3 linked regions of the Caenorhabditis elegans genome follow. The protein of the gene in region 1 interacts with the protein of each later gene in a pairwise test. Each region holds a gene or a part of one and is shown in the gene's direction. Other genes may lie near its edges.

Region 1 (7,331 bases):
CTTAAACTTTTGCTTCACTTTCAGTAGCTTTTCCTTGACCGTCATGTCGATTTGGTGGAAATTGAAAGAAATAACTTGGTTCCCGTGAAATTTTTGCAAGGGGTGTTGGATGACGTGGCAATAAATGTGGCAAAGCTGTGAAGACAAGAGAAGCACAGGTCACGTGAGAAAAGATACGTGATTCAACTTTTTTCACGTAAAACTTTTTTGTTTTTTTTCTCACGTATTTATTTTTGTTTCATTATTTTTCTGATTTTTAATTGTCAGCCAAATTGTAGTACGAAATTGGAATTCTCACTAGAAAAAGATGAAATTATCATGGTAGTGGACTAGTACGGTAGGAGTACTGTATTTTTATGCAAGCGCGAGTTGGGCGGGGAAAGAGGCGCCCCGTCACGCCTCGATCGGTTTTTTTGAGATGTTGTCAAAGTTGTCACTGTCTATAAGGAGTCGGCTGCGATTTTCGTTTGCCGAATATCAGTTTTCCAAAAGTTTTAAAAAAGATTTTTTATAAGAAAAAACGTGGTTTTTGATTTTTTTTTTTTTCCGTTTTCTTTAGACATACTTTGGAAATGTTGTTGCTCAAAATATTCATTGAAACTTTCGGGTGTGCTTCCTGGGTGCTCACTTCCTAATTCCCTACATTCATAATTCCGGATGACTCCATGTCATTTCCGTCGGCTCACATCACCGAATCCTCCCGCCTGTCAAACAAACGTGAAAAGATTATGCAATTGACAAAAGACATGAGTATCTTCAAAGGGAAACAAAATGTGTCTCCTGCTGAGATATCATCATCTGGTACGAAATCGAATGAGCACACCCCCATTTTGACAGACGGCCATATGCCTTTTGCAGAAAGGAGTTGACCCCCCACGGGTACCTCTAAAAGGCATGAAGCATTGTTGATTGACGAGCCGATTAGCGAATATTATTGAGGAAAGCTTTTGGATTGAAACCAATGTTATGTAATATGAATGATTAAATACTTTATGATTGTTGAATTATTTGAAGTTTGGCGAAACTGTAGTTATTGAAATTTTTGCCAAATGTGTGGCATTTGGAAAACAAAGATTTAAGCAGCAGTGAGGTATTTTTAAATAAAAAAAATATATCTCTTCTTTGTCACTACTTTTTATGTTCGTAAAATGAATCCATCGTTGGTTTTTACAGATGATCTCAAAATTTTCTAAGGGTATGTTAGTAATATTTTTCAAAGTGAAGGGCCTTTGTGACAAACTTCTCGGCCATCCTGTTGGAGTCCTAAATATATTTATTTTTAAACATCAATCAGCAAACTCTTAACAACAAGCATGATTTTTTTGAACATTTAGAAAATTAGATAAAAATTTGGATTCTTTATTTGCAGAGTCTTAGCTCTTCAGTTCAACGTTCCAAATTTCAAAAACCAAAAAAAGCATCTCAATTGAACAATTGTTGGCATGTTGTACAACAAAAAGGTCGAGAGGTGTCTGAAGTGACACGTGTCTTCCTATAAATTGCACTTGATAGACTGTAATGGGTACTGAGATTGAAAACACCTGTTTTGAGGGATATGGACACTTGGTACATATATGACTACTACATTTTACAGTCTTTAGTGAGATAATGTGGACATATGTTTGTGAATAATATGATGTAACTTTGAGACGATTCAGATTATGAATTCCATTAAAAATTGCAGTGCAAACCTTCAAATAATTTGCAGTGTTGTGGAAAACGGTAAAAGCATTATAATCATATATGAATGTCCCTCTCAGCCTTTTTAATAATAATTATTAAAAATAGTGTAACTCTGAAGAGGATAAAAATTAAGGAAATTTGGTCGGGATATTTTTTGTTCTAGAACTGTATTTTAGATCTAAAAAAACAGGTTGGAAAAATCTCAATTAAACATTTTTTAATGTAAACTTTGGTCACTTTAAACTTCATGCAAGATGCTGTCAAATATTCTAATTTTTATTTCTAAGGTCTTATTTTTCAATTTATTCAGTTCCAACTGATCAAAAAATCATTTCATTATTTGTGTAGTTTGTGTTTTGTTTCATGTATCCGAGGTCCAAAGTATTTCCAATCACTTTTTAATTGAAAAATCCAGAGATTATCCGCTTATATTCACAAATGTTCAAATTGATATATTTGGAGCATTGAGCACAAATAAACCTACTATTTAGTCACTAGAAAATAGACAGACGGCGTTGAAATTAGGTATGATGTAACAGGTCATGAACTGTGTCACCTGTCCCATCTGCCTGCATGATTGAGCGAGCTTAAACGGTGAGAGTACTGTAGATGGCTTATTGACAGATGAACAAAATTTGAAACTTTTTGAATCTCAATTTTTGAGATATAGCCACAGGTTTCTGTGTTGATGGTTTTCCACAGTTGAGCTACAGTACTCAATTTCGAGAGAAGCATCTACATCTACAGTTTTTCATAATTTCAAAAAATTTCCTACTTGAAATAATTGTTTAATAAAAAGTTATGTATAAAAAGTAATAATTGTTATGTTTCTAAACAAAAATCCATGTTTTTAAATCCTCTAATTTTACAATTTTTCATTGACTAAATATCAAAACGTGTTGTAAACTCAACCATAACCGCCTCAGCCATTATATTTCTAAAATAACCTGTGTCCCTCTTGGGACCACCTACTGCGCATGTCTACCAGCTTGTTGGAGCAATTCTTGTGGTTCCGCCTCTTCGTGAGCTCCGACCAATCAGATCGTCTCATTAAGACCACGCCCAGTCTTGTTAAGCTCAACAGATTTTGTGTGTAGTTCACAGCTTGATTCATTTCTGATAGAATATGATAACTACCCCGAATATTAGTTTAACACCAACTGTTGCTCCTCCAGTAGATTTCCCCATAATTGGCAATTGTGGTGAGTTATTGAGTTTAATAGGTTCTTGATATTTCGTTAATATTTTTTGGTTTTGGAGATTGTGTCAAAATATTGTATTTTTCCTATTAGTCTTGCACCCCCATTGCTCCAAAGTGGCAGCTCTTATTTTGGATCTATCAAAAATTGTTCAATAACAAAAATATAAAGAATAATGTATCTGACACCTATATTTACTGTTCCACAATGTTTTAAAAAAAACCAGAGACAACCGAGATAAAAACAGTCAAAGTTGAGCAAATGTTGAGCAATCGGTGGTGATACTTATTTAACCTTTTAGTCCAAATTTTCTTTCAGATTTTCAAGCCCAACTATGGCATCTAATGAGTCTACACCTACAAATGCAAAAGTCTTCAGCTGCATCTACTTCGTCCTCTTCTAGTTCGTCAACGTCCTCTGAAAATCTGAAGAAATCTCCATCATCTGTACAAAATACCTCTGTATTCTCAATAGACAATATTCTAAACTCTCAAAAAGTTCCAAAACTAGAATTGGAAAACGATGAAGATGTATCTTCATCTCCGTCTCCAACATGTTCTACCACTGGATATACATTGGATTCACTTCAAAATTTGGATAGAAGAAGCTTGAATAAAAAAGGGTTAGTGAAGTAATTGAAACGGAAGAAGACTCCCGTATAACTTTTTTTCAGACCATCCTCTCATAACAGATGTGTATGTGACAAATGTGGGAAAAGCTACGCAACAACTTCCAATCTCAGTCGACACAAGCAGGTAGGTAAAACAGTGTTTTTCTGACAGCTATGACATAACATATTGCTTCCTTCGTGTTCCTGGATTGAGAATTCTTTTGTTTTGAAAGTAACAATTTCAGACGCACAGAGCTTTGGATAGTCCACATGCCAAACAATGCCCTCATTGTGATCGAGTCTACGTCAGTATGCCTGCACTAAGGTAAGAGCTTTACTTTTCAAAAAGTATTATTGTATTTTATAATGAGAAACGTGTAAAACTGAGGAATTCGAGTCAATAACTTTCAGAAGTGAAGTTTTTGAATTTCTTAGAAAAAATTCTAAATCTGGTTATTACGCAGGCGCAAAATATTGTCATTTTTGAAAAATACGGTACCCGGTCTCGACACGAAAAAATTTGGTTAAATGCAAAAAGGTGTCCCTTTAAAAGAGCATCAACGAGAGAGTTTGAAAAATACAGTACTCTCAAAAAATTGTCGTGTAAAGACCAGGTACAGTACTTTGGGCGCAAAATTGCAATATTTCGCGTATAGGTAATACGTTTTCACACCAGAGTTTATTTGAAATATCGAGCTAACTCAGTTCAAAGAATAGAGAATCATTACTTCCAAATAATATCCAGAATGTAATTGAAACCACGTTTGTAAGGTTAATCTCCTCAAGCTTTCACTTCGTATTATTTAATCACCAACAATTCGCACCTGCCTTATTCTCATCAGAAGACAATCTTCCGATTGCGCAATCACCACCTGTACCTGTATTTCTTTGCGTCAACACACATTGTACACTATTGTAGTTAGGCGGATAATAGAAATTATATAATACATGGTAATAATAAGAATTCGATGGAATTAGTAGTGAAACTAGCAACCAGAAAGCTGGGGCTAAGTGTTCACAATCTAGTAGAGACTTAGGATTGGACGTTAACTTTTTCTCCTAGTTTTACAAGTTAAACTGAATTTCAGCATGCACATTTTAACACACAACGCTTCTCATGAATGTAATGTTTGCGGGAAACGATTTTCGAGACTTTGGCTGCTCCAGGGACATCTTCGTTCTCACACAGGTCTTCGGCCTTTCTCTTGTGCTCATTGTGGAAAATCATTTGCTGATCGGAGCAACTTACGAGCGCACATGCTAACTCATACAGGTATTTACGCATATATTTTCACACCTAACAGTTCTTCAATATTTGTTGTTCCAGGTGACAAACGATTCGAATGTGATAAATGTGGTCGTCGATTTGCCCTGCGAGCTTATTTAAATCGTCATTTGGAAACGTGCAAATGACATCCATGTTCAACCAGACCTCAAGCTCTTCTAGTCATTTGCAAATCGTCTAGTCTCATATTGTAAAATGCTTATTTGCCTACTTACAAGCTTTATTACAATACAATAAATAATTTGGACAAAAATTCTACACAAAAACATGGAAATCATTATGAGTTGTATGTTGGAACCGATGAAATTTGGAGAAGCGAATTGAATTTTCTAGAAGTGCGTGGCTTCCAGATCGATTACAGTACACTTGATAATTTGGACATATAAAAAAATGAATAGGAAAATTTCACGTTATGATTACCAGAACCGGTTGAGAATGTAGGGAATACGTTGGAAATTACATGTGGCGGGTGTTTCCCATGTTAAGTCCTGAAGCAGTTGCCCCTTTGTTGCTGCCCATTTGAAGACCAATCACGTTATGTCCAGCTTTCAATTGCTCATCGGTCCATTCACGACGATCTCCTTGAGCTTCCTTCGGTCCGAGACCAGATCGACCGAAGTTCTTCTCAGACTTTCGTGCCAAAGAAGCGAGACAGATGAGGACAGCATTTGGGTCCTGTCCTTCGTAGAGATCAACAGTCTGAAAACAATTGATGTCATAATGTGTTTAGTGAAAGGACAAACCTGGAAGAGTTCCGACTTTTGCACATACTCCTCAGCAAACTTCAGGAAGAAAGAGATGTTCTCCATTTTCTTGAATGCCATGGCAGATGTGTTGACCTTCTTGACGCTTCCTGGTTTCAAAGAATTGGCAAGAGTGCAGAGAAGACTTCCATCTTGAAAAACCTTGACCAAGTTGTCAGCGTCTCCTTGGGTGTCGAAAGATTGGCCAGTGACGTTCTGAAAAATGTTTCAAATCGTGAATCGAAGAAGGAGCATAACTTATTTGTATGATTTTCTTCGTTTGCAATGTAAACATATGACTTTGCCAAGAATCAATAAACGTTTGAAAAGTTTCACAAAATTACCTGAACCCATTGAAGAATTTCTCCGGCAAGATTCTTATCGTATTTCTCGTAGATTTTCTGCTGGGCCTCCAATGCAATTCCAGACTTTTCAGCGCGATCCGAAGAAGCGAAAGCGGACATTTTCTAGAACGAATAAGTTTGAAAGAAAAAAAGCGTATAGTTAACGACGAGAAAAAATATTTATAAACAAAAGAGGTTCTTCCACTCTCCGCTAACCAAAAATGGTGAAATTCTTCTGACTCATCGCAAAGTTTTGGTTCTCCGCCTACGTCTTGCGTTTTTGATAAGGAACATTTGATTGAACGGTGTTTGATAAAAAAGAATTGGAAGAGTTTAATCGAAAATAGCCCAAAAATAACAATTTAAGAGTGCTCTCGGGAGAAAACTGCCGGTTTGAATGAAGATATGAGAAATGTGCTCAGGAGCGCTCCTAAAATTCAGGCGGTCTTTTGTAGTTAAAGGAACATTCAAGAGGCAACAGTACCGGGTCCCATAGCGAAACAAAAGTTTGTGGTGATCGCTAGATTTTTGTGTTTGATTTTGAAAATACTGTTCTTTTTCTCCAACATTAAAAGAAGATGTTTTAAATAAAATTCAGCAAATTATTAATATTTCATTGTAAAAATAGATTTTTAGAACTTTCTCGAGCTCGAGGCACTCAAAATAAAGTTACTTTGGTTCTATGTCGCAATCTAAAAAGAGCGATAAAAAAATGAAAGCTACATAAGCATGGAAAAATTTTTCAAAAAGAGATTTTGCAGCTCAAATAAGAAAACTACGATCTAATATCCTGGTTTATAAAAAACATAAAACTAATGAAAGAAAACGAAAACTACTTCTTGAAAGAAATATTACCGGTACAGAGAGTGTAGATAGTTAGAGAGTGACAGACATCCGGGACCCAATGGGGCGGGCGCGCGGAAGAGACGATTTGTGTCGATTTACGAAATGATGACAACGAGGAAAATTTCGTAAATCGGCACAAATCGTCTCTTCCGCGCGTCCCGCCCCATTGGGTCCCGGATGTCTGTCACTCTCTAACTATCTACACTCTCTGTACCGGTAATAGGACACTTTGCAAACATGCATACAAACACGCCAATGACCCTTTTCTAATTAAAAACGCAAAACCACTTTTCAAGAGTCGACCGATCGGAAAAGGTGGCGATCGACAACACACTCCTCACAACATGATGACGAAAACCTTGAAAAGGAATAGAAAAAAACAAGGACGAATGGTGAGCGGCTCGTTTAGGTTGAATGCATTTGAAAAATATGAAAACGAGAGTCGATATGGGAATTCTCAATAAAACATTTGAAAGTCCGAATAGGAGAGGTTCACAAACCAAATGAGGGGAGAAACGAACCGTCTGTTGGTTTTTTTTGTTTCGAACACACAGTTGTGTTTGTCCTTTGCATTAGCTGGTATGACGAGAACTTTGAACTTTGGCGTTGAATAATTGCTAC
Region 2 (8,561 bases), 1.9 Mb from region 1:
GTCAAGGTTTTAGAGGATGAAACATTTTGTAAGAATACCGTAGCCGACAGTCATAAGTTTTGAACGTTTTCAGACAACAATCAAATGCTTCGAGATTACTGTAAATTTATTATTACTTGTAGCCTTCGATGTGCGGACTCTGATAAAACAACTGCAATAGAAATGCACGAAATTATGGAAAATATTCTCGAATTTTTAAGTGAAGAAAATGAAGAAATGAAATATCATTTCATCTCGAAGACGACCATCAATGTGTCCATAGAATTTCAATTTATGTTTGTCGAAAAAACTCTGGCATTGATTAGAGATGCATTCACTTTTCAAAAAGACTTTTTTGTGAAACCTCCAGTTTGTGAGTTACATTTTTAAAATAGTCTAATATTTTGTAACCGATTTTTAGTTGATAATATGCTGTGCACTCTTCTTACAAAATGCTTGGAAGTCACTGAACTTGTATCCAGAATTCTTCAAATCTTTGTACAATACAAAATGATGCAGGAAAGAGTCACGGAGATTATGACAAGTTACTTCACCACAATTCAGATGGGAGTTGTATTGGTATAATTCAACAGAAACTTTTTAAAATTTGATTTAATCTCAAATATTTCAGCTTCAAAATCTTACAAAAGGATGGGGAAAAGAAATGTCCGAATGGCAGAGTACAAATATTCTTGCCACGTTGGTAAAGACAAAATTAAGGCCGATTCTTGCGATGGTGGACGATCATATTGGATTCTCGAAAGGAAAAGATGAAATGAAGAAAAAGATTTCACAGAAAACAAGATATGCAAAATCGAAACGAGACGAAAAACTATTTTCAAAGTTTTCACACGAAAGAGAAGCTGTTCAACATGGAATTCTTGTTCTTTGTAAGCTCATTAAAGATGATCGATTTGATCTTCAGATCAAGGTACGTAGATATATCAATTGGGAGTTTAAATTGTAATTTATTTCGTAAGAAACTTATTTATTCCTTTTGTAGCTGTCATTAGGGCTGTGGACGAAAAATTGATTTTTTTTCTAAAACATAAACGGAATAAAATTTCGCCAAAACCCAAAAAAAAGACAAAAACAACAGTTATTACTTTCGAAACTAGTCTGAGGCGTTTTCACGAAAATTTTGAACCTATAGACATTTTCGAGTGTCGTTTTTTGACAAAAAGCGTAAAATTTCAAAATGCATACATTTTCGGGTAGTGAAAAGATAATTAAAAATGTCGCTTTTTTTCGTTTTTTTATATCAATTTTATCCGGTAAAAGCACAAAAAATAGATTTTTCGCCAGAAACACAGAATAAAGCGAAAAATGCAGCCTTGGCTGTGACCTTCAAGCTACAAAATTATATATTTGAAAATCTTTTTTTTAGACATTTTCAAAAATATTTTTAAAGAACAATTCAATTGGATATCGTGACTTCCGAATCGATATGGAAGTTCTTCGCAACAAATTGAGCGGGCAAGCTAATGAAGAAGTTTGTGAACCGTACGTTTTAAATTTCAAAAAGTATTGTTTCTCCAGTTTATTATTGAATCCTCTTTTGTTTCTTTAAATAATTTTCAAGTAACGAGATGCTTTCAGAGCCACCAAACGAGGCCGTAGGGACCCAAGTATGGAAGATGAAGAAATAGAAGAAACTGAAGAGAGTACAACATCTGCAAGAAGAAGCTCCGAAGAACCCGAAGAGCCAAGAGATCAAGAGAACACTGTTGGAGTGGTATGTGTACGAGATTTTATGAGTTGTGTAACCACTACTTGAGCTGATTAATTCTAAGGCCGAAAAATATTTTATTTGGACAAAAACTTTAACTCTAAAAAATAAAGTTTCAAAAAACAATTCGGCAATTAAAATTTCGAAAAAATTAAAGTAAGTCTCCATATCTTTCAAAAATCTTACAAATGTTAAAATCCAAAAATAGTTTACTGTTTCAACAATTCCTATGATGTTTTGAATAAAAAAGAAATCATTATTTTTCAATATAAATTGTGGATATTCGGTGCGAAACTGTTTCAATGCGCTGATTAATAGGACCACATTTGTGTCAAATGTTCATTTCAATTTGTGAAATGATCTAAAACAGCGGCATCCCAGACATAAAATGTATGTAGTTCCAAATGCCTCGACCACATACATTTTATTATTCTCATTCACCCATTAAACATCCCTTTTCCATCAACCGACATCAATTTGACCCAAGGTGACCCTTATATGGGAATTTTCTATTTCTGGAACATAAATCTGACTTTCATTGTATTCGTTGTCATAATGATGACATAAAGTGCAAACAAATGTGTACACCATCGTCTCACCACCATCTGTTACACACATCCAACCAATTATCGCCTTCTCGAATCTTTGAATGTTTATAACCACCCATCACATCCCTCCTTTTTCGATAAAATCTAACATTGTGGGAAATGAATGTGTCAATTACTGAAATGAAATGATTGATCAAAGGGCATAACCTTGTTAGTTGTTGATAGCTTCATTTACCTTAATCCTTATATAAATTTACGCTGCCCTTAAATCAAGTGTCGTGTTCAAGAATATATTTTTCACGAGACGACTTGCACTCTTAATCTAAAAATGTATTTTTAGGTGAAGCAGGAGGTTGATGACGAAGAAGAAAGTGTCTCCAGAGGCACGAGTCCAGTCTTCTGATCAGTTAGCAATGAAACGACAATTATATTTGATTTCCTAATGAGTTTAAACTCTCGAGTTTTTATATGTGTAATATATTCTTCAACACTCCGGAATGCTTCTAATTAGTTACAAATGACAAAATGGAGCTTCATTCATGTTTTGGTTTTTTTTTAAATTTTCATGACTGCTACAGTATACCGTCTTGTTGTTTAATCTAATAGAATCATTCAAGAGTTTTTATTCTTTCCATTTGAATCTCAATTTTCACTATTATCATTTGATTCTCATCTCATTTTCTTACCGATTTTCAATCTCAAATTATTTAAGAACATACCATGTCAATAAACTTATTATTTGTTAAACATGATTTTTTAAAAATATTTTCTTCAAGACAGGTTTATGTCTCTTTATTCAATATTTCAACCTTTTCCGTTTTTTTAGATAATTTTGTGAGTTTTTTATACTGGAATTGTGATTATGTACATGTAAAATATTTATAAATGCTTCTCTCTATAGTAAGTTGCAGCTTCATCGTGTTTGATTCGAAATATTAGTTAGAAATCCTCGGATCCTCGTGTTACTTGAATATCAAACTTATTGGATACATTCATCTTCTACACTCGGGCTCAAAAGAGCTCAAAACAAATGTGCTCTATCGACAACTCCTCCCCCCATTCGGTCACCCATTCAGCGTCGCATTCATCGCCGCGCGTTCGTCCTCCTCGACACCAATACCTCCTTCATTCTTCAACGTTAGTGGGGCTATATGACCAGTCGTTTTGCAATTAATGTATGATTCTCTCCGTCTACACCACTGGAAACCCATGTCCTCTTTCTTTGTTTCTTCGTCTCGTTGTCAACGTCTATTCAAACCACGTGCTATTTCTTGAGTTTTGTTGTCTTCTCCCAATCCATCACTAGTCTGTTCTTCCTTGCATTTTTTTGATCGAATTTTTAAAACTCCTCTCATAATTTTTATGTTAATAATTCACTATCCACTTGATTGTATTTAATTTTCAGTAAAAATGAAGGCATCGTATCTGGAAACCCTCGATCGAATCAAAGACGAGCATGCGGAAATGTCGAAGCATGTCAACCAGCAACGAGTAAGCTTAATTTTGTAAGAGAAATTTTAGTATATTGAAAACAATTTTGCAGTCGGATATCGAAAAGGTTGCGTTAGAGAAAGAAAATATGAATAGATCGTATATGACGTACGCTGAAGTATCAAATACTCTTCGTAGCGATCTTCGAAAAGCAGAAGAAATCAACAAACGCCTTCAGGAATTCATCATGCAATCGGTAAATTAACTCGTCAATAATGTTATTAAAAAATCGAACAAAAATATAGAAAAAGCTATTACAATTTTTTTGTTGAAATATTTGAACTAAATATTATGGAAACGTTATAATATCTATTGGATTGTACCTTGTTCAACTCAAACATGCTCCTCTTTCCATATATTCATTTATAAATAGAAGAAAAATTATTATGTAATATTTTTAATTCATAATAATCAATTTTAGGTAATATTATAAATGTATATTTTTCAGTTGGCTCCTCAACTATCTCAAGATAATCAAGCAAACTGCCTCGCCGCACTGGAAGCTTTCAAAACCGCATCACCACGTGAAAATGGAAATGGAGCACCAGCACTTCCACCAGGTTTTCCTCCCGGTGCAGCTGGAATGCTTGGAATGATGCCAAATATGCCATTCGGAATGAGCCCTGCAATGAGTCAACTATTCAATCAATTCGCATCACCACATGTCAACGGTGGAGATGGAGCCGGTGGAAGTTCTGGAGGTGCAAGTGAAGCGAAAAAGGCCAAGCTGGAAGATCCAGATGATGGAGAACTTGAGATTGATGTCACAAATGATGATCATCCAAGTACTGCATCAAATGGAGGCGCAGCTAATAAAAATGGAAGAGATAGCACAAATAGTGTTGCCTCATCGGGAGCATCTACACCGAGCATCGCATCAAATTCTAGAGCAAGACAACAACAGCAGCCACTCGCTGGGCTTCAAGGATTGGAGCAAATGAACTTTTTAGCTGGATTCAGTACGTGTTTACAATCTTTTGAAGTGTGCTAAGTGGAGGGAGCAAATACCAAAACTTCAGGCAATGCCAAAATATTTCAATTTTCAGATCCAAATCTTCTCCGACAAGCTAGTGCTGCTGGAGGATTCAACTTTTTGAATGATCCCCATGCACAGGCCCGTCTTGCAGCTGCCATCGGGCAAATCGGTAGCAGACCGGCCTATTCATTCAAAATTGTGGACGGTGGAGTTCCAACACCTACATCCTTCCCTCCAGATGCACAGAAAGGTCCCGGAATTCCGACGTAAGAAAATATAATAATTGGCTTTGATTCAAATTTGAAAAAAAAAATTGCAGAGGTCTCAAGAAGAAAATGGAATTAAATCACGGAGAAGTAGTTTGTGCGGCCACAATTTCCCGTGATAACAGTCGTGTTTATACTGGTGGAAAAGGATGTGTTAAGATCTGGGATGTCAAAGAATCAGATATTTCTGGCGCAACGGTTGTGAATCGGCCTCCAATTGCATCCTTGGATTGTCTCAAAGAGAACTATATTAGATCTTGTAAACTCTTTGAAGATGGAAATACACTTCTGATTGGAGGAGAAGCCAGTACTGTTGCTCTTTGGGATCTTACAACTGAAACAAAAACTTTGGACTTGGAAACTGATTCACAAGCATGCTACGCGTTGGCGATGTCACCAGATGAGAAATTATTGTTCGCATGTCTTGCTGATGGAAATATCCTCATTTATGATATCCATAATAAGGTGAAAGTTGGAACCCTACCTGGACATCAAGATGGAGCATCATGTCTCGATCTCTCAAAAGATGGTACAAAGCTCTGGTCAGGTGGTCTTGACAATTCTGTTAGATGCTGGGATCTTGCACAACGAAAGGAAGTTGCGAAGCATGATTTTGCGAGCCAAGTTTTCTCTCTTGGATGTTGTCCAAATGATGAATGGGTGGCTGTTGGTATGGAGAATAATTATGTCGAGGTTCTGTCAACAACTGGAAAAGAAAAGTATCAATTGACACAACACGAATCATGCGTCCTTTCGCTCAAATTTGCGCATTCCGGAAAGTTCTTCATTTCAACTGGAAAGGTATGTTTTGATTATACTTTGTCATTTACCGTATTTCTTCTATTAGTATGGCCTCCCTATTAGACTTGCACTCCCTATTAGTATTGCCCCTCGGAGACCTTCCAAAAATTAGTATGGCACTCCCTATTGCACTCTCTAATAGTCTTGCGTTTACTTTTTTTTTATTGCAAACCCATCTCGCTAATTTCAGGATTTCAACAATATTTTTTGCCTATTGTGCAACAATTTTTCACAAAATTTATACGAAATTGAAGTTTTTGAACTTATAGGTTACAATTAAAATCAAAATTTTTTGTATTTTTACATAAGATTCGAGCTTTTTCAGAAAAAAACTAGTAAGCTCAAAGTCAGAAAAATATTCTGAAAATTAGTATTGCACTCCCTAATATTCTTGCACTCCCTATTAGTCTTGCAAGCGGGAAGACCATCGAAAAATAGTATTGCAGCCATATTAATAGAAGAAATACGGTAATTGGCTCAATTTTTCTAATTGAAACCTCATAATCTCAATTTTTCAGGACAATGCTCTCAACGCCTGGCGTACTCCATACGGAGCATCACTCTTTCAACTAAAAGAGAACAGCTCCGTTCTCTCATGTGACATCTCATTCGACGACTCACTCATTGTCACTGGATCAGGGGAGAAGAAGGCAACTCTCTATGCAGTTGAATATTAATTTTTTTCCGCAGTGAATTTATGATCATGATACTCAAAACCCCTATTCTGTACGATAATCGTTTCATCTCTCTCATCTCTTCTAATTTCGTTTGTCAAATTTTCGTATTTGTGTACCCTATTACGATTAATGTCACTCTATGTTTAAAACATTTATTTATTTGCACTACAAAACAATGATGATCTGACTTGACTTTAACAGCAATTAATAAAACATTTCAAAAATCTGAAACTCTTCCCTTCCTCTCCCAATCACCATATCGAGTTGGCTCTGGTCCAGCTGGTCCACCAACTTCTCCAGTTGACTTATTCACACCTCCCGGATGTTTCTTGAGGTGAGGATCTTCATATTGTTGTTCGTCTGCTTTATCAAGTGCTCCTTTCGGTGTCTTCTCAGCCATCACCTTCTCCTTCGCACTTTGTTTTGGTTTTATATCTGCGAATCGGCGGGAAGAATCTGAATCGTCAAGAAATTAGAAAATTGTTTTTTGTGTAAAATCCATACTCAAAATTGGACGAAGAATCTGACGAAGCATTTGATCTGAATATTTTTTTTAATTGTTTCAATAGGACTAATCTTGCGACTAAAGTTACATCGATATCTCCAAGGCTCCACCCATTTTTCCTTCAGTAACATATGAAAATATTGACAACAAATCTTTATCACATATATAAAAGTCCATAGAAACAAATGTTCTTTGATGCATTTCAAGAAAGTGGGCGCATAAGATCAAAAGAATAGGATAAGAGCTAAGGTAATTTAATTGAACATGCACTTGTACACGGCATAAATGACAAGTCCCATTGTAGTTGGAATCAGGAAGTTGGTCCATGTTGGTGAAGTCATAATTTCGGTGAAATCATTGAGGAGAGATGATGATTTTTCGTTTTTCGAAGGTTTCGCAGCCGCTGTCTCGACTTTTGGAACGTCTGATTCTGGCAATTGACCAATGAGATATTCATTGGCCATTTCAATAGCATCTTTTGAGTGCCCAACATCGAGGAATCCAACTGTAGCATCTTTACCGGCTAATTGAGTGATGACTTCTTCACCTCCTGGATGCTCATTCAAGAACTTTGTCACATCGTAGACCTGTAAGGAATGATTTCGATATTTAAATTTAAAAAATGAAAAAAAAATTACCTTTCCGGAGATGACAATCCAACACGATTGATCAGCATCTTCCCAGTTGTGCTTTGAGACCTCATCGAGAGAAATGACACGTAGCTCCGACATAATTGATGAACCCTGAAACAAAAAATGGTCTCTAAGTCGTTGAAAATTATTCAAAAGTGATATATTTCGGTTGAAAACCAGAAACTTTAGTATAAATTGAAAAAAAAAACATAAGGAAATCAAATAATTTATGCAGAAAATACTAAGAATTACCCTACAATCTCATGAAAAGGCACATTGAACATCGGAAGAAAATAATTCAATTATAAAACAATTTTGAAACACCCATGAAAATGAAGTCAACCTGAAAAAATAACAAAAATCTTGGGAATATAATTATTTCGTTTTTTCTCTGTGATCAGCTCCAATTGCTTCCGAAACATGCGAAAATCCATCTTTCCGTAAAAGTTCGACAAGTTCTCGTTTGATTTTTCCGATTACCGGAAATCCTTCATAGACGAACGCGGAATAGAGTTGGACCAGACTAGCACCGGCTCTGAAATTTTACATTTAGTTAAATAAATTGAAATTAATACTTTGATTGAATAACGGTGGACTATACGGCCTGTGGGAAAATCAATAAAACCATTCTTACCATATATTGTACTCAAATGGTCAAATATTATAATTCAATTTTTATTTTGAGTCAAAAGGCGTTGAAAACTGTGTTTTTACTTTTCGAAAAATCTATATCACTGTATCATGTTTAAACCTTTAAAATGTTGAAATATGCATATTTTACATAATTAGAACATAAAACTGGAGAATAACATTTTTTTGATCGTCGATTTCCAAAGAAAAATAGGGGAAAACCGATTTTTCACTGCTTTTTGAAACGAAACAAAAAATGTTTCAAATTTTTTTTGAAAAGTTTTATAATAATATTTGGTCATTTTAGCAAGATAGGAATGGTTTTTG
Region 3 (8,024 bases), on another chromosome or scaffold:
CGAGATTCCGCGAAATCGGCTTATGCATTTCGTGTGCGACAAAGATAGACGACAATCATTCGGGAAGGTGTGGCCCAGAGTGTCCGTACCTTCTCAGACCATGCACCAGATGCTCGGATCTCCGTTCATCAATCCGTGCCTCTTACCATCTGGAATGCCTCTGCGATTGGAATAGGAAAGGAAAACCATGGAATGGAGGACCAACGGTGTTGATCCGCCTTCCTGAATCTCCACCCAGAGACCAAAAAAGAAGAAGAAGAGGGGACAGAGGCAGATCACCATCAGACGAATACGGCAACGTCATCCACTACAACGACGACTACAACAACAACGACCGCTACAGTCAAGGTCCGTCCGACAACTATCGCCTATTAAATTGTTCACACCACCACCCCATTGTTCACTTGTTACTGTTGTTGTTAACCATCTTGTTATATGGGTGAAAATCCCTAATAATAAACAGATGTGTAAAATTACAAGACTATAAGTATAAGTTCTCACAAAGACAAAGACAATATGACCTTTACATTGGCTCTTGGAAAGTACGATTCTATGTATAAGCGATTTATAAACAATATACTCGACTAACAGTTTGTCAAAAAATGTTTTTTATTTTATGACTTGGCATATAAAGACTGGCTGGCGCGGATACGTAACGACTAATTATTTATTTATTTTTTTTCCTTTTTTATACTTCGCAGGGTACACTGTACGTGCCTCTGTACCCTGTTTAGCAAAAAGACTACGAGTTTTTGCGCCTGACTGTTTAGTATCACAAGTTCGCGAGCTTGTGATGCGACGCCGGGTTCTTCGACGACACCTTCAAAGAGACAAGACTATCCAGAGATTTAGCAATAGACACCGAAAGGGTCGATACATACTAAAAACCCTTAGACGGAGGACTAGCTACCCTCCAATCATCGGCGAAGAAGAAAGAAGATTTAAATTGAGTGGCAACTTTCGGTGATTTCCTCAGGCCAGAGGAGACTTTGGCGGCTCTCTGCAAGATCAGGCATGACTATACGGTGTCAAACAAGAACTTGGGCGGACAATTCGAGTGGAGTTTGGACTACTTGTTTTGGTTTCCCTTCTTTTTTTTCCTTTTCCTTTTTACCAGACGCAAAGACTAATTTTTAGACGTTTTTTTTATATATATTTCCTTAAAATTGCCCCCCCCCCCCTCCTCACCCTACTCTTTGGTCGATCTGCCTCACAACCATATCCACCTTGGAGTCCTCCACTAAACCTACTCTACATTGTTGGGAACTCTTTCCCTTTCTACACCGGGGACTCTTGACCCGAAGGGGGACTCTTTACCCTGGGAACTCTTGGCCCAAAAACCTACAATACAGGGAACTCTTAGCCCTCACCGACATTCCTCTGCCAAAGGAATAATTAATAACTCACCCATATTAGGTAATATTTAATAATCCCCCCACTCATATTGGGTCATTACTTTCCTTATTTACTGTACCTTTATTTATTTATTTATTATTTGATTAATATTTATTTATTTATTTAATATTTATTTTATTAATTTATTTTTATTAATTTATTTAATTAATATTTATTTATTTAATTAATATTTATTTATTTATTTAATTAATATTTATTTATTCATTTAATTAATAATTAAATAATTAAATAAAACATTTCTGTAACTACGTGAAGCTTCTTGTACCTACTGGAATATTATTGGTATATGCTGAAAGAGCTTAAAATTTACTACAAAGTTTCTGAAAGACATTTCAAAAAAAGTTACTTTCAAAAGATTTATGAATTTTCAAAGTTTGGAAAATTCATCTATTTTTGCCTATAAATGGTAGTTTTCATTAAATAATAAAATACGCACTAAAAGGTAGGGCTGAAAATGTACTATTTCTGTAACTACGTGAAGCTTCTTGTACCTACTGGAATATTATTGGTATATGCTGAAAGACCTTAAAATTTACTACTCAGATAAACCGAACCACGCAGGCACCGCTCCAAACCACGCAGGCAACGCGTACAAACCACGCTCAAGAATGCCAGTCCCTGCGTGGTTTCAACGCGTTGCCTGCGTGGTTTGGAGGCGACACCTGCGTGGTCTTGCAGCAATGGCAGTTCGCAGCCCGCTCCTTCCCCTTCCTACCGTTTAACCATCTAAAACGCAAAGTACGAAAATCTCAAAAATAACAACAAAAAAAGGTGGGAAACAAAATTAAGTCCATTAGGCAGTTGTTTTCGTCCCAGTGATCAGTGTGATGGTGTGTCCTTTTCCTGGCTCATCTTTTTCCGTGCGTTCAAGCTGCAATATTATTGATTTTTGGAAATACAAATTGATAGAAGGGTGTTTACCATTTTTGATCCACCTGTCGGGAGAAAACATCGCCAAAATCCGCACTCGGGAACTGTCCTTCGAATCCGGCTACAACATGTAGAATATTGTGAAGAACGCCTGAAAATTTTTGTTTAAAAAAAAATTGGACAAGAATAGCTTACTGATAGGACAATTGAGAAGTCTTCCTTGAAGAATCTGATGATTCACCGAATTTGGGTGGACACTGAAGGTGTGGAGGAGCTCTGGAGGAATTGTCTGAAAAGTGAACTATTTTAACTACATCTGGATTTGGAGAATTTGTGCAGCTGCCAAACTTCTGTTCACCTTTGACTTGGAATTTTCCGCGATTTTCCTAAGCTCTTTGAAATCCCAGTCCATAGTTCGAACGAACGATTCCGAAGGTTTTTTCTGAAATTTTGTTGCTATATATTTTTTAAAAATAAAGTTTATCTTACGTTGAAGCGACCAATCGAATGCGGCGCCTCCAGTCCATTGCCACGCCGCTTTCGGCCTCCTTTTGGGGTTTTTCGGGCCGGGGTTGACATATTTACCTGAAAACAATTATTGAGTTTCATGAAGAAATTGAAAATTAATATAAAAGTGCTTTTTGCAAGAAAAAAAACGGAAAATTCCATTAAATTAGGAAAAAAAAATAGAAGAAAAAGTTGTCCAAGAGGAGTACGCAGCCATTGGCCTAGGAATCCCGCGCGTGGCTGAACGTTGGCTGCCTGCATGGTATGTAGGCGTCACCTGCGTGGTTTTGCAGCCACTGCCAATAGCTGCCCACCGTCAAGTCGCCTGCGTGGTTCCTAGGCGTCACCTGCGTGCTTTTGGTTGCCTGCGTGGTCTTGACGCGTTGACTGCGTGGTGGGCAGTCACCTGCGTGGTTTGGAGCGGTGCCTGCGTGGTTCGATTTATCTGAGTACTCTAACTTGGGCATTTATTTGAATTATATTTGAAGTATATTCGGAAATTTTTCTTTTTTTGAACATTGAAACACATTGAAATAAAATAAAATAAAGTTTGCCAGAAATTTCAATTCCAGTAATTTGTTGATTTGCCTGAAAGCTAATATATATCGAAATGTATACATTACCCGTAATCAAAACATTTTGAAGTAACAGTATTCTGTTATTCTATCCGTTTTCTCTTCACTTTTCTCTCCCGATCAACTCACTCAATGTGCCCTCTTCCTACATTACACTTTTACGCACTCTAACACTCTCTGAGCCGATAGTTTTATTCAATCGAAATGTTCGCTTATTCAACGTCTTCAATTACCGGATCAACTCTTTCAGTTAGATCGTTTTCCAGTGACACGACAATTTCCAATGCGTTTTTCAATTTGCCTCAGGTAAAGTTGTTGCAAAATATATTGATTTATTGTTATTTCTACTTTTAACCAATGTTTTTCAATTTAAAAAATTTTGAATTGAGCATATTAGCGCTGATTTTTGTTTTTTTTTAATTTAATATTTGAAAATAGCCTGTCAATTTATAAAAAATCTATGCTTTATATTTATTAAAGATATTAGCCAGACGGGAAATTTTGCAATTTTTATGTGTTTTGCGCGAAAAATACGGTAGTTCTTGGTCTCAAAACGACAATTTTTCGTTGCATGGAAACGGGTGCTCTCCTTTAAAGAGTACTGTAATTCTAAACTTTTGTCGCTGCGGCATTTTATTCGACTTTTCATTGTTTTTCTTAAAATTTATGTGTTTTAATTGTTTTACTTCAGTTTTTTACAAAATAAAAACAGCCTTTTTTAACGAAGAACTATGAAAAAACGATGAAAACCCTGCAACAACGAAAGTTCGAAATTACAGTACTCTTTAAAGGCGCGCCCTGGTTTGAATATAACAAAAAAAAAGTCGTGTCGAGACCAGGAACCGTATTTTTGGCGCAAAAATCGCAAAATGTTGGGTATGAGTATAAAATAAAACACCGTGACCACTGGCTTGAGCCACGTGTACGGTATTTAGCTGAAAAGTTTCGATCGTGTCAGGACTCAAGACTGTTCTTTTGGGGGAAAACCCGAAATTTTCGTGGGCAGCTGGTACTCTTCTTTCTGGATTTAATCCGGATTTTGACAGAAAATGTTTTCTCGACGATTTTATTGAAAATTTCCATCTGTTTCCCAAACTTTCTCCAATTTTTTTGAAATTCTTGAATTCAGTATAATTATTATTCAGTTGAATATGCAAATTTTGTTATTAAAACAATTGAAATATTTGTTTTATTCACTTTTTGAGCAGATCTTTTTTTCAGAGCAATTTCCGTCAACGTCTGCAAGCGAAAAAACGAAGTCCGAAAAGAGTCAGCAAGCGCGCTCCATTGAGAACGCATCCTCCAATTCCACGACAGGTTTTTCCACTTTTCTCTTCTTTTTTTCCCGTTTTTTTTCATTTATTTTATGTTAAAATTCAGAAAATAAAGAAAAATATTTAGAAATAAATAAATTAAATTAAAAAATGCATTTAATTATCATTTATATTCGCTCAACAACACGACAATCCCATTTTCCGCTCACTGCCACGTGTAGCTTTGCAGATGTCGCTGTTTCGGAACTTTTTTGGCGGCGGACAGCAAGATGAAGACGAGGATAATGGAGCTGAATATGTAGAAACACTTGTGGAACGAGCAGAAACTTGTACGGCACCAGAAGACCGTCGAGATGCGTTGAGAGGGCTGAAAGGTGTCGCAAAGGTGAGAGAAAAAATCATTTGAACTATTAAAATTAAACAATTAAAATTAAACGTGTAATTTCAGAAATATCGATTAGCCGTCGGAACAATGGGAATGAATGCATTCATTGACGTGCTTGAAACAGATCGCATGAACACCGAAGCCATGACAATTGTGCTCGACACGATGGCAATCGTTTTGTCAACAGACGACGATTCTTCAGAATCCGATGAATTAGGAGAACGATTAGCCGAAGTGATGATTAAACGAAAAGGCTTCATTTCTTCAGTTTTATGCGCCGTTGAACAATTCGATATTGGAGTTCGAAGGTTTTTATTCCGAAATTAACGAGAAAAAAATCAAGATGCTTTAAAAAATTCACTAATTTCAGCTAAAATCTCCAATTTCGTCAACTTATCGGTGTCACAACAACCGCAAATTAATTTTCTTTTTAATTTATCCGTATTTTCTCCGATTGAGATACATTTTCAGGCCAAAGGCACTGAATAAGGGGCCTATCGACTGAAAATTCCTCAAAAAACGGCAAAATATGATTATAATTGAATTAAATCGATTTCCGGCTGTTGCGAGACAATCTTCGAAATTAAAAACACCTGATGTTAGGCAAAATCCCCAATTTTGCTCCTTTTTTTGCGTTACAACAGTATAAATACAGTCTTTATTGCATTTTTTTTTTGGTTTGGTATCCGATTTTTTATTATCTTTGGTGTTTGCTTTTAATAACGAAATAACGTGAGATCAAATAAAATATGAAAATTCGATAAAAACTGCATTGCAGCAGTCCTAACGCGGAAAAATTGATAAAATTGGAGATTTTAACTGAAATTAGCCCGTTTTTCAGAAATTTTGAGAATTATATCTTCAAAATTAGTGTATTTTGGCGCATTTTTAATTTTTACGAGCAAAAATTCCCCCGAATCCTCCTTTAAGGAAGATTTCGGACGATTTTGAACGTATACCCCCAAAAATGGGCTCAAATAATCGAACTTCGTATTGAAACTGCTCGAAAATGTTTGAAAAACTTTTTATGGCGGTTCAAAATTTCGAAAAAATACACTGATTTTAGCTAAAATCTCGAATTTTGGCCTTTTCTCCGTGTCGCAGCGGTTCGAAGTTGACTTTTTTGGAATTCTCGTCCTTTATTGAATATTTTGGTACTTTATCTCATATTATTTCGTTTGTTAAAGTACATTTAAAGACGATAGGTAACCGTTTTTTATGATTTTTGGCTACTTATAGGCTTTAAATGTACTTTAATAAACGAAATTAAATGATATAAACTACCAAAATATGCAAAAAAAGGATGACAATTCCAAAAAAGTCAATTTCGGACAGCTGGAACACGGAAAAATGGCCGAAGTTCGAGCATTTAGCTAAAATCAGTGTAATTATATAATATTTCGAAATTTTGAACCGGCATAAAAAATACAAAATTTTGAAAATTTCTTGAGCAGTTCTATTACGAAATTCGTCCATTTGAGCTCATTTTTGAGTCTTTACGAGCAAAAACCCCCCGAATCCTTCTATAAATTATTTCAAAAATCTGTATTTTACTATTTCAGAACTGCAATTCAGCTGATTTCAAACCTGCTTCGTCATCGTGGAACAGAAGTTCAAAAAGCCGTAATGGAGCATCCTCAAGGAATCGCAAAGCTCGTCGACGTTATTCATGATAATCGAGAAATTATTCGAAACGAAGCAATTTTAATGATTTGTGAATTGAGCAGAGCCAACTCGCAGGTTCAACAGCTTCTCGCGTATGATAATATATTTCTCGATCTTCTAAATATTATTGAAACCGAGCCCCTTGACAGTGAGCGGCTAATCAATTTTAAACATTTTATTTATTTTATTCTATGTTTTCAGGCATTGTCATCGAAGATTGCATGTTTGTAATGCTTAATTTATTGAGAAAACATGCGATGAATCAGCAAATATTCAGAGAAGATCAGTGAGTGAAAATTGGAATTTAATACACAAAAATTGCATCTAAAAAATCGAAAACCACTCAAAATGGCAAAATTTTGCTTGAATCTGAATTTTTCGCGACTTGTCTCTCACGGAAATCGATTTTTTATCAATTATTCCGCATTTTTTTGGTATTTATTCTGTATTTTGGTATGTATCCTTTGAAAATGCGAAATAAAATACTAAAATATGCAGAAAAATGTGAAAATTTTGACAAAAAATCGATCTCCGGCAGCAAATTTCCAGATTTTAGCTCAATTTAATTACTTTTTCGAGTTTTAGACAAATATCATTATGAAATTTAGTATTTTTTACGAAAAAACTCAAAATTACTCCTTTTTTGCGATTTTCGCGCCAACACGTGTTTTCAGCTCGACCATTCGGTGTAATTTGTGCAAACACCGTGACGCGCAAATGCAGACATTTTTGCACGCGCTGCGGTGAAATTCCTCTTGGGAAATTTAAATATTTTTTCCCGCCTTTTTTTAAAATTTTCGAGGCGTTGGTCGAGCTGAATACACGTGCGCCAAAAAGACGATACTCGGTCTCGACACGACAAATTTATGTTGTCTGCGAAAATGCGTGCGCCTTTAAAGATTTCTGTAATTTTAAACTTTCGAGAATAATTATAATTTGAAATTACAAGAATAATTTGAAATTACAGTACTCTTTAAAGGCGCACACCTTTTTGCATTTAGCAAAAGTTGATCGTGTCGAGACCAAAAGTGGCGGTTTTTCAATTTTTTTTACAAAATCGAAATACGAAAGATTTTCGATTTTTTTCGCTTTTTCCAAAAATATATTAAAATTTTAGTCATTTATCTCCTTTTTAGAAGAAATGTTTATATTTTTCACATCAACATAAACAAAATTAGACAAAAAATCGAATTTTATTGTTACTTTTCTGAATATTTTTTTCGATTTTTTTTTGTAAATTATAAATTCAAATTTTCCAGATTTGTCGCTCGCCTCGGAAAAATCCTGCACACATTTCTCTATGGAAACGAAGAAACTGAAGATATCGAAGTA

The links.
Region 2: the proteins of ces-1 (region 1) and unc-37 interact in a two-hybrid assay, tested with the Caenorhabditis elegans proteins (3 studies listed by BioGRID).
Region 3: the proteins of ces-1 (region 1) and uso-1 interact in a two-hybrid assay, tested with the Caenorhabditis elegans proteins (2 studies listed by BioGRID).

The regions. Positions count from the first base shown.
Region 1 is NC_003279.8:8,631,140-8,638,470, forward strand, and holds ces-1 (C2H2-type domain-containing protein), read left to right. Parts: upstream 1-2,757; 5' UTR 2,758-2,809; coding exon 2,810-2,885; intron 2,886-3,200; coding exon 3,201-3,504; intron 3,505-3,555; coding exon 3,556-3,637; intron 3,638-3,737; coding exon 3,738-3,817; intron 3,818-4,580; coding exon 4,581-4,765; intron 4,766-4,819; coding exon 4,820-4,905; 3' UTR 4,906-5,030; downstream 5,031-7,331. Other genes in the region: Sperm vesicle fusion protein fer-1, read right to left, coding at 1-45; cpn-1 (Calponin-homology (CH) domain-containing protein), read right to left, coding at 5,234-5,476, 5,521-5,736, 5,865-5,984.
Region 2 is NC_003279.8:6,740,430-6,748,990, reverse strand, and holds unc-37 (Transcription factor unc-37), read left to right. Parts: upstream 1-3,661; 5' UTR 3,662-3,666; coding exon 3,667-3,747; intron 3,748-3,799; coding exon 3,800-3,943; intron 3,944-4,195; coding exon 4,196-4,706; intron 4,707-4,793; coding exon 4,794-4,989; intron 4,990-5,042; coding exon 5,043-5,790; intron 5,791-6,308; coding exon 6,309-6,467; 3' UTR 6,468-6,684; downstream 6,685-8,561. Other genes in the region: fnci-1 (FANCI helical domain-containing protein), read left to right, coding at 1-28, 74-352, 401-558, 611-910, 1,391-1,482, 1,579-1,714, 2,597-2,659; W02D3.12 (Succinate dehydrogenase assembly factor 4, mitochondrial), read right to left, coding at 6,685-6,923, 6,972-7,002; cytb-5.2 (Cytochrome b5 heme-binding domain-containing protein), read right to left, coding at 7,227-7,559, 7,611-7,703; dhod-1 (Dihydroorotate dehydrogenase (quinone), mitochondrial), read right to left, coding at 7,980-8,139. UniProt on the Caenorhabditis elegans protein: Transcriptional corepressor that functions with the neural specificity gene unc-4 to govern motor neuron identity. In concert with unc-4, represses the expression of VB-specific genes such as ceh-12, thereby preventing the adoption of VB motor neuron fate.
Region 3 is NC_003282.8:13,450,347-13,458,370, reverse strand, and holds the start of uso-1 (Uso1_p115_head domain-containing protein), read left to right. Parts: upstream 1-3,572; coding exon 3,573-3,674; intron 3,675-4,589; coding exon 4,590-4,685; intron 4,686-4,871; coding exon 4,872-5,027; intron 5,028-5,090; coding exon 5,091-5,335; intron 5,336-6,589; coding exon 6,590-6,840; intron 6,841-6,893; coding exon 6,894-6,978; intron 6,979-7,951; coding exon 7,952-8,024. Other genes in the region: Y38H8A.7 (uncharacterized protein), read right to left, coding at 2,236-2,287, 2,338-2,437, 2,482-2,575, 2,645-2,728, 2,776-2,865.